Rattus norvegicus: one gene and its partner. The protein of the gene in region 2 interacts with the protein of the main gene of each other region in a biochemical or structural test. Links are inferred from orthologs where the notes say so. Each region holds a gene or a part of one and is shown on either strand. Other genes may lie near its edges. The genes, in order: Cops6 and Cops7a.

Evidence for each region.
Region 1: the proteins of Cops7a (region 2) and Cops6 form a complex in vitro, tested with the Homo sapiens proteins (3 studies listed by BioGRID, with this or other methods). The link is inferred for Rattus norvegicus from reciprocal best matches to the Homo sapiens genes COPS7A and COPS6.

The regions. Positions count from the first base shown.
Region 1 is NC_086030.1:22,151,130-22,155,042, reverse strand, and holds the start of Cops6 (COP9 signalosome complex subunit 6), read right to left. Parts: upstream 2,356-3,913; 5' UTR 2,354-2,355; coding exon 2,224-2,353; intron 2,017-2,223; coding exon 1,894-2,016; intron 1,696-1,893; coding exon 1,564-1,695; intron 1,361-1,563; coding exon 1,272-1,360; intron 1,181-1,271; coding exon 1,118-1,180; intron 754-1,117; coding exon 706-753; intron 395-705; coding exon 280-394; intron 197-279; coding exon 104-196; intron 15-103; coding exon 1-14. UniProt on the Homo sapiens protein: Component of the COP9 signalosome complex (CSN), a complex involved in various cellular and developmental processes.
Region 2 is NC_086022.1:159,457,362-159,461,274, forward strand, and holds the start of Cops7a (COP9 signalosome complex subunit 7a), read right to left. Parts: upstream 2,813-3,913; 5' UTR 2,691-2,812; intron 2,670-2,690; exon of another isoform or gene 2,571-2,669; coding exon of another isoform or gene 2,557-2,570; intron 2,341-2,556; coding exon of another isoform or gene 2,298-2,340; coding exon 2,136-2,297; intron 1,782-2,135; exon of another isoform or gene 1,676-1,781; intron 1-1,675.

The DNA of each region.
Region 1 (3,913 bases), on a different chromosome or scaffold from region 2:
GAAGGGAACCTCTCCTAAGGGCACAATGAGGCTGCACTGATGTGGATGTTGTCACTTCTCCAGGAGGGAGGAAAGATGGTTAAAGGTGAGGTACCTCTCCTACCTGCTTCAGAGGCCTTGACGTACTCTAAAATGAGCTTCACACGGCTGTGCAGCATCTTGATGGCGCTGTGCTGAGCTATGAGGTGTTCAGCCACTGCAGGGGGACAGGACAAATGAAAGGTAGCAAGTGGCCACACCCAACCCATACCTCCAAAGAACTGAATTCAACCCCCTTACCAGTGGAGTTCTCCCCACTGCCTGTAGCTGTCATCCGGGCCACATGGTCTACACCGATACGTTCAGCTTCCTCAGTGGCCAGAGTGTAAGTGAGTTCAGCAAACAGCATTGTGGCCTGCAGAGTAAAGGGTTCTCAGCAAGGAAACAGGGCTGGGCAGACGGCTCAGTGGGTAGAGCGCTTGCTGCACGAGACTAAGGATCAAGATGTGGCAGCATGTGTCTATAATCCCAGAACTTCTACAGCAAAATGGGAAGTGAAGACAAATCCCAGAAGCTCACAGGTCAACCAGCCTGGCAAACACGAGATTCTGTCTCCAGGTAGAAAGCTACGACAAACACCCAGGGTTGCCCCATGCCTGTGCACATGTGCACAGCATTTAGGAGACAGGCTAAAGCAGGATTTGAAGATTGCAGGGTAACTATTACCTCTCCATTGATTATATCGATGACAGACTCAAAAACGCTGACAGGCAGCTGTAAAAACAGACGGAGACAAGAGAACAGCTCTTACTAGAAGCAAATGCACTTGAACTTGCCAGGCTGGTTTTGAACTCACAATTCTCTTGCCTCAATCTCCTGAGTGCTAAAATTGATTACAAGTGTTGTTGCCACACTTAGCTCACAATTTTCTCTCTACTGGAGTAAGTTTTACCCACATTACATATGGCGACACCACTGAAGAGATGAAGTTACACAACTGATGGGCGTAAGTAAACAGCAGCGTGGAGATTCAACTCAAGCGTTCTCTAATACACATGATGTCACAGAGTAAATCAGAGCAGAGGCATATAGGGGCAGATGATCAAGACAAAGGGGTCATAGGGTCAACAATACTCACATCTGTGTGCTTGGTCATAGGGTTCAACTTCAGAAAGAGAGGACTCTCAATTATCTCGCAAACCTAGAAGACAAAGCCCAAAAAAAGTCAGTATCTCTTCTTCCCATAACCTTCTGTTCTCTTCCCCAACATGCACACATGTGAGCTTTTATACCTGCTTATGGACGTGGATGTCTGAGGGGTCAGGTGGCCCCCCTGTGGTATACCAACCCAAAAACTCCAGCTCCTTGAAAACCTGTTTAACTGGAGAAGAAGGGGCCAGAGTAAATATTTCTTTAAACCTCTCTTCCTGAGTTTGATGGACCTGGTGTGTTTCCTTACCGGCTTTTCCCTTCCTCCCTCCCTCAAATTTTGGGTCAGTTTAGCATAACTATACCTTTCTATTCTAAATACAAAACAAAAATCTCCCCACTTCTCCTTCCCGCCCACTTCTATTCCCTTCTCACACTGCTCCTCCTTGGTGTAATAATATTCTTTGTCAATGATAATCTTCTTTTCCACGGTGTGAGACAGCAGCTCAAAGGAGTTCATCACTTCGATATTTCGCCCCTCCTGCTTCCCGATCAGAGCCCCAATCACTAAGGAGAGAGAAGCAGAAGTGCAAGGAAAATAGGTGAGGTTCAAGCATCGAAAACCTTTCCCGAGACTCTGAAGTCAGTGTGTATTAATGACTGGGGAAACAGTAATTTGGAAAAGGGGGCGGGGGGAGGGACTGGAGGAGATCTCCAAGAGGAGATCTCCAAGAGGAAATTTTGAGATTTACACACAACACTCACCCTGCATAGGCCGCCCCTCCTGGGAGCGCATGCGGATCCAATGGTCTGAGATGTTGAGGATGACAAGGGGATGAAGAGCGACGGAAACACTCCCAGTCACTCCGGAGGCCATCACGCTGGGGACTGTTAAAAGTGAAAGAAAAACATAGCGGGTGAGAGTTCGGGCCCACACATTCTCCCCTAGACATGGGAGCAGAGGACCGGTAGAGCCGGGCCGTTCATCCCTGCCCTCAAGTTATCCTGGGAGAGATGTCGCTTCTCCCGGGCTTAAGAAGTACTCAAGACACTCCGCAAGGGCGACTCCAGAAGTCGTTCCCTGCACCCCGTTACCTGCTGCATCCACCTCCATGCCGCTGCTGCCTCCGCTCCCGTTCGCCGCCGCCGCCGCCGCCGCCGCAGCCGCCGCCGCCGCCGCCGCCATTTTCCCCGCGCCCGCCAGCCACGGCCCGCCCCTTTCCATCTCGGCTTCCGTCGGCGAGCGGCGCATGCTCAGTGTGTACTCTGTGTTGCTAATGGGCGGGGCGTCTGCCAGTACTTGGTAGCCCATGGTTCTCAGTGTGTTGTGTTGTGTTGTGTTGTGTTGTGTTGTGTTGTGTTGTGTTGTGTTGTGTTGTGTTGTGTTGTGTTGTGTTGTGTTGTGTTGTGTTGTGTTGTGTTGCTGCTACCGGTTCTCATGAAAACCGGCCTGGCCATGAGTTCTGTATTGTGTATCTAAGAATGACTTTGAACTTTTGGTCTCTTGCCTTTACCTCCCAAGTAGGGCTGTTAGTTTCCAGGTCTCAAAGGGGATACTTTGTCAATACTAGACGCAGAGAAAATTGCGATCAAAAAGAGGAAACGCTGTAATTTATTAAGGATATAACATTTTTCACGTTGCATATAATCTATAGTGACATGGTCACTTGTTTGTTGAACTGCGGTCTAACCGTGTTGCCCAGCTGGCTGGGAACTTGCTATTCATCTAGGCTGAGTTCAAACTCAAAGAGATCTACCTGCCTCTACTTCCTGAGTGCTGAGATTCAAGGTGTGCAGCGTGCCCAGCCTGCCTTGTTTTTAAAACGGTGAGCAGGGGGGCTGGAGAGATGGCTCAGTGGTTGAGAGCACTGACTGCTCTTCCAGAGGTCCTGAGTTCAATTCCCAGCAACCACATGGTGGCTTACAACCATCTGTAATGAGATCTGATGCCCTCTTCTGGTGGGTCTGAAGGCAGCAACAGTGTACTCATATAAAACAAATAAATAAAAATATTGAAACGGTGAACTGAGGATCTAAAGTCGGTTCCTAACACTTACAAAGCAAGCACTTTATCCCCCGAGCCGTCTCCCCAGTGGATTACTCCAACTGTTCAGCTGCTTCTTCAGTTGCAAGGCAACTTGATTCTACACAACCTAGTGACTGCTACTGGGAAGGCTTGTGGCCCATGCCTTTAATCCTCGCACTTAGCGAGGCAGAGACAGGCAGATTTCTTGAGTTCAAGGCCAGCCTGGCCAACAAAGTGAATTCCATCACAGCCAAGGTTACACAAACTCTCACAATATAGGGGTTGGGGGAGAGTTGCCTTGGTCATGGTGTCTCTTTACTGCAATAGAACAGTGATTAAGACAAGTATGTTTCCCACTTGGATCAATAACTGAGGCTAAGCAACCTCCTTTAATAGTCAAGAAAAAGGGACTGGAGAGATGGCTCAGCAGTTAAGAGCACTGACTGCTCTTCCAGAGGTCCTGAGTTCAAATCCCAGCAACCACATGGTGGCTCACAACCATCTATAATGAGATCTGATGCCCTCTTCTGGTGTGTCTGAAGACAGATATGGTGTACTTGTAATATGTAATAGATAAATCTTTAAAAAAAAAAAAAAGTCAAGAAAGAGCATTTGGCCCACAGTCATTCATTTGGGGCCAATAACAGCCTGTTTTTCTTCCTTCCTTCCTTTCTTTCTTTTTTTCTTTCTTTTTTAACCAATCATAGTCATGGACATATGTGCTTTGGACCAATCATGGCCTTGCACTGATTCACAGTA
Region 2 (3,913 bases):
TTTTTTTTTTTTTTTTTTTTTTTTTGGTTCTTTTTTTCGGAGCTGGGGACCGAACCCAGGGCCTTGCGCTTCCTAGGTAAGCGCTCTACCACTGAGCTAAATCCCCAGCCCCAACAATGTTTTAACAAGGCTATAGACCCAGCATCTGCTAGCCTCCAAGGACCCAGAGCTGTGGCCTTCGAAGTAAGTTACTGATAAATTGCTGACTTGTATTGTTTTATCCATTTATCCGATCTCTTTCACTGGAACACAAGCTGGAAATGCTCCTTCTACCTCATCTTAAGGACATACTTTAGTTCACTGTAGAGAAAATCAGGGACAAAAGCCAGTTTCTTGTGAAACAGCAGTCCCAAAAAACATTCTATCCTCTGATTCCACCACGGGTCTTCTAATGCCTGGCTCAGTCTAGCCACACACTACTGTCACTCTCATGACAGGCTGGTGTCCCAGGATTGGCCATCCATCTGCTCTATACTTTTAACGTTCTTTTTTTCTTTTTTTTTTTCTTTTTTTTTTTTTTTCCGGAGCTGGGGACCGAACCCAGGGCCTTGCGCTTCCTAGGCAAGCGCTCTACCACTGAGCTAAATTCCCAACCCCACTTTTAACGTTCTTGACTCAGCCATTTCCCTGAATGTTCTCGTCACTGTGTTCATAGCAGTTTGCCACTGTCTTAGGGAAGACAGCATCTTCACCATCTACCTGGGGGTGGGGTAGGGGTGGGGGTGGGATTTACCATGGCATAACTCAAATGCCCATTCTCTCTGATTTTAGGAGACTCCAGACTTTCCCACAGTTACTACTGTAACTGTGAAGGGAAGTGCTTTTTTTCTTATTATCATTTACTTTATGTATATGTATACACTGTAGCTGTCTTCAGACACACCAGAAGAGGGCATCAGACCCCATTACAGATGGTTGTGAGCCACCTTGTGGTTGATGGAAATTGAACTCAGGACCTCTGGAAGAGCAGTCAGTGCTCTTAACCGCTGAGCCATCTCTCCAGCCCAGGTAGTGTTTTTTTCGGTTTTTCCCTCATTGGAGTTGTGAGAACTGTACCTATACTGAGCCATGCATACGACAAACAAGGGCTCTTTCACTGAGTACATCCCTACTCCTTTTTTGAGATGGGGTCTAAGTTGCAGAGGCTGGTCTAAAATTTGTGGTGCCCTACCTTAGCATCCCAAGTTCTGAAATGGAAGCCAAGGCCTCACAAATGCTAGGCAACCACTCTATCAGCTGTTTCAAGGTTCTCATCACCATTTTTTAAGGGAAAACTGAGACTTAATTAGGTTTTTCTGATCCAGGTGACAAGATTTGTTGTTTTGTTTTTAAGACACGGTTTCTCTGTGTAACAGGGGCTGTCCTGGAACTCAAGTCTGTAGACCAAGCTGGCCTCTAACTCAGAGATCCACCTGTTTCTACCTCCCAAATGATGGTGACAGGATTATTAAGAGGTATCAATAGGCACAAATCTTCAATCCCAGCACTCCGGAGGTGGATCTCTGAGTTGAACACACAGAGAGTTCCAGAACACAAGTTATAGTACACAGAGAAACCCTGTCTCGAAAAACAACAACATCAATAACAACAGTAAAGATATCATACTGGTGGACGAGCTGGCATTTATGAGTGGTATTGTGTATGACATGTTCTTTTGTTTAAAAATTTAAAATCTGTGTTTCCTTCAGCAGCACATATACTAAAACTAGAACGATCCAGAGAAGATTAGCATGGTCCCTGGGCAAAGATGACCTCAAATTTATAAAGCGTTCCACATTTTTAAATAAAAAAAAAATTTTTTTTTTAACTTCTGCATGAGGCATAGTCAAGAAGATTCTCAAGCATTCAAGGCCAGCCCAGATGACGATTACCAGTTTAGTGCAGCCAGGACTACGCAGTGAAACCCTGACTGAAATTGTGGGTACAGAGGAAGGGAGCAGTAAGTTTACAGACCCCTTTTCTGTAAGAGATACAGGAAATGAAGACCTTTTTTTGACTGCTTACTTTTCCAAGCTGACATCTAATTATCAATACCCTGTTCACCTGAGTGGCTATTGGTTACAAAATGAGCCCACCATTCTCAAGGAAACTTTGGTCCCGAGGTTCTTTTTGAATTACCCAGGCAAGCAACACACCTCTCTAACATTAGGCATATCCAGCAGTTCCCCAAACACGTAGACACCAGGGGCCTCCAGCACCTGGTGGATGAGTGTGGCCAGTGCTGCCCCCTTAGCCGACTTGGCAAGGAGCAGAAATTGCTCCTGGTTCTGCCCTGTCACCTTCACCTCCGCACTCATGGCTGCACCCTGGTGCGGGGCTCTGGCCTCAAGTTTTCTGGAGCTGCAAGGAAAGAGGAACGTAAAACTAAAGGTCCCTGAACCACGTGAGGGTGGTCAGCTCAAGGGTGGGGAACTGCACTCAAGAGGTACCACGTCACTTCTGCAGTGTGCAATTAGGTCAAGAAGTCTAAAAGCCAACTCTAGGGTTCCTTAAAGTCGGCCACATCCTGGCTGCCACGCCCACCCTCTCCTCCATCGGGGCAGTCCCAAGCCCCACCACGTGCATCCCATTGAGTTCCAGGACAGATGAGGAAGGGAGGGAAGAGGTGGCACATGGTGTCTACCCCAACGACGACGAACTCCCAGCTCTAAACTCGTGTCTTGCACGTGTCCTCAACCACGTGACCTCACCTTTTCGATCCTCACTCGTGGCTCCACCCCCTCCCTTAAAGAGGCAGCCCCGGGTCCGCGAATCTGTGCCCAAGGCCGGGTCGTACCCTGGGACAGACTGCGACCGACCGCTACCTGGAAGCCTCGTCTTCCAGCGCGCGGGGCGGGGCGGCCGCTCCGTCACCTCCGGCAGCGGCTCCCAGCCTTTCCTGCCACCTCCCCGCAGGGTCGCTCTAGCCACGCGCTTCTATGGCCAGTTTCCGGCCGCACTTCCGCTCTCGAGAGGCGGGTTCCGGCCGGCTATGGCCTGCTTCCGTTTCCCGACCGAAGGAGGTGAGAGAGCGACACCTAGCTTCCGCTCTGTCGATAAAGCTTTATTGGTGCGGGAGCGGTGGATGCCGGGTGTAGAGAAAATCCTGGCTCCGTGGAGGTCCTGGGTAGATGAACCGCCCGGTAGCTGCAGGAGAGGGGAGGAGGGCAGCGCCAAGTTCCTCCGGCCGCATGAGCGTTAGTGGAAGACGAGAAGATGCAGAAACTAAAAATAGGAGACAAACATGGCTAGAGTTTCAACGGTAGATAATTTAGGTAGTTCAACCACTCATGTTTTTCAAAGAGCAGAATAAAAAGTAGACAAACGTGGCTAGAATTCAACGGTAGATAATTTAGGTAGTTCAACCACTCATGTTTTTTAAAGAGCAGAATAAAAGTTTAAAATGCAAGGGGGCAGGGAGTGGTGACCCACACCGCTTCCCTGTGTTTTGGAAATAGAGGTAGGATCGGGAGTTCAAAACCAGCCCCAGGGGGTTGGGGATTTAGCTCAGTGGTAGAGCGCTTGCCTAGGAAGCGCAAGGGCCTGGGTTCAGTTCCCAGCTCCGGAAAAAAAAGAATCAAAAAAAAAAAAAAAAAAAAAAACGAAGCAAAAAATACATAGCAAATACCAAGCCAGTCTGGGCTACTTGAGAACCGGTCTGGAAAAAACAAAACAAACCCCCAAATGATTAAGGGGAAAGGGAAGTGTATTGGTCAGGCTTTTGAGGTTTTCTTCCGTTGGAATTTCAGACCACGTGACCAGACTTTTGGCCGATTAAAACCAGAAGGATTACTACACCTAATCGTTCTGGTTTTAATACTTGAATCTCAACAGGAGAAAAGTGTAAGTAGAACCTAGGCAGGTGAGGAAATTTAAAAGTTAAAGGATTCAGCTGGTTATTTGTAATCCCAACAGCCAGGAGACTGAGGCAGGA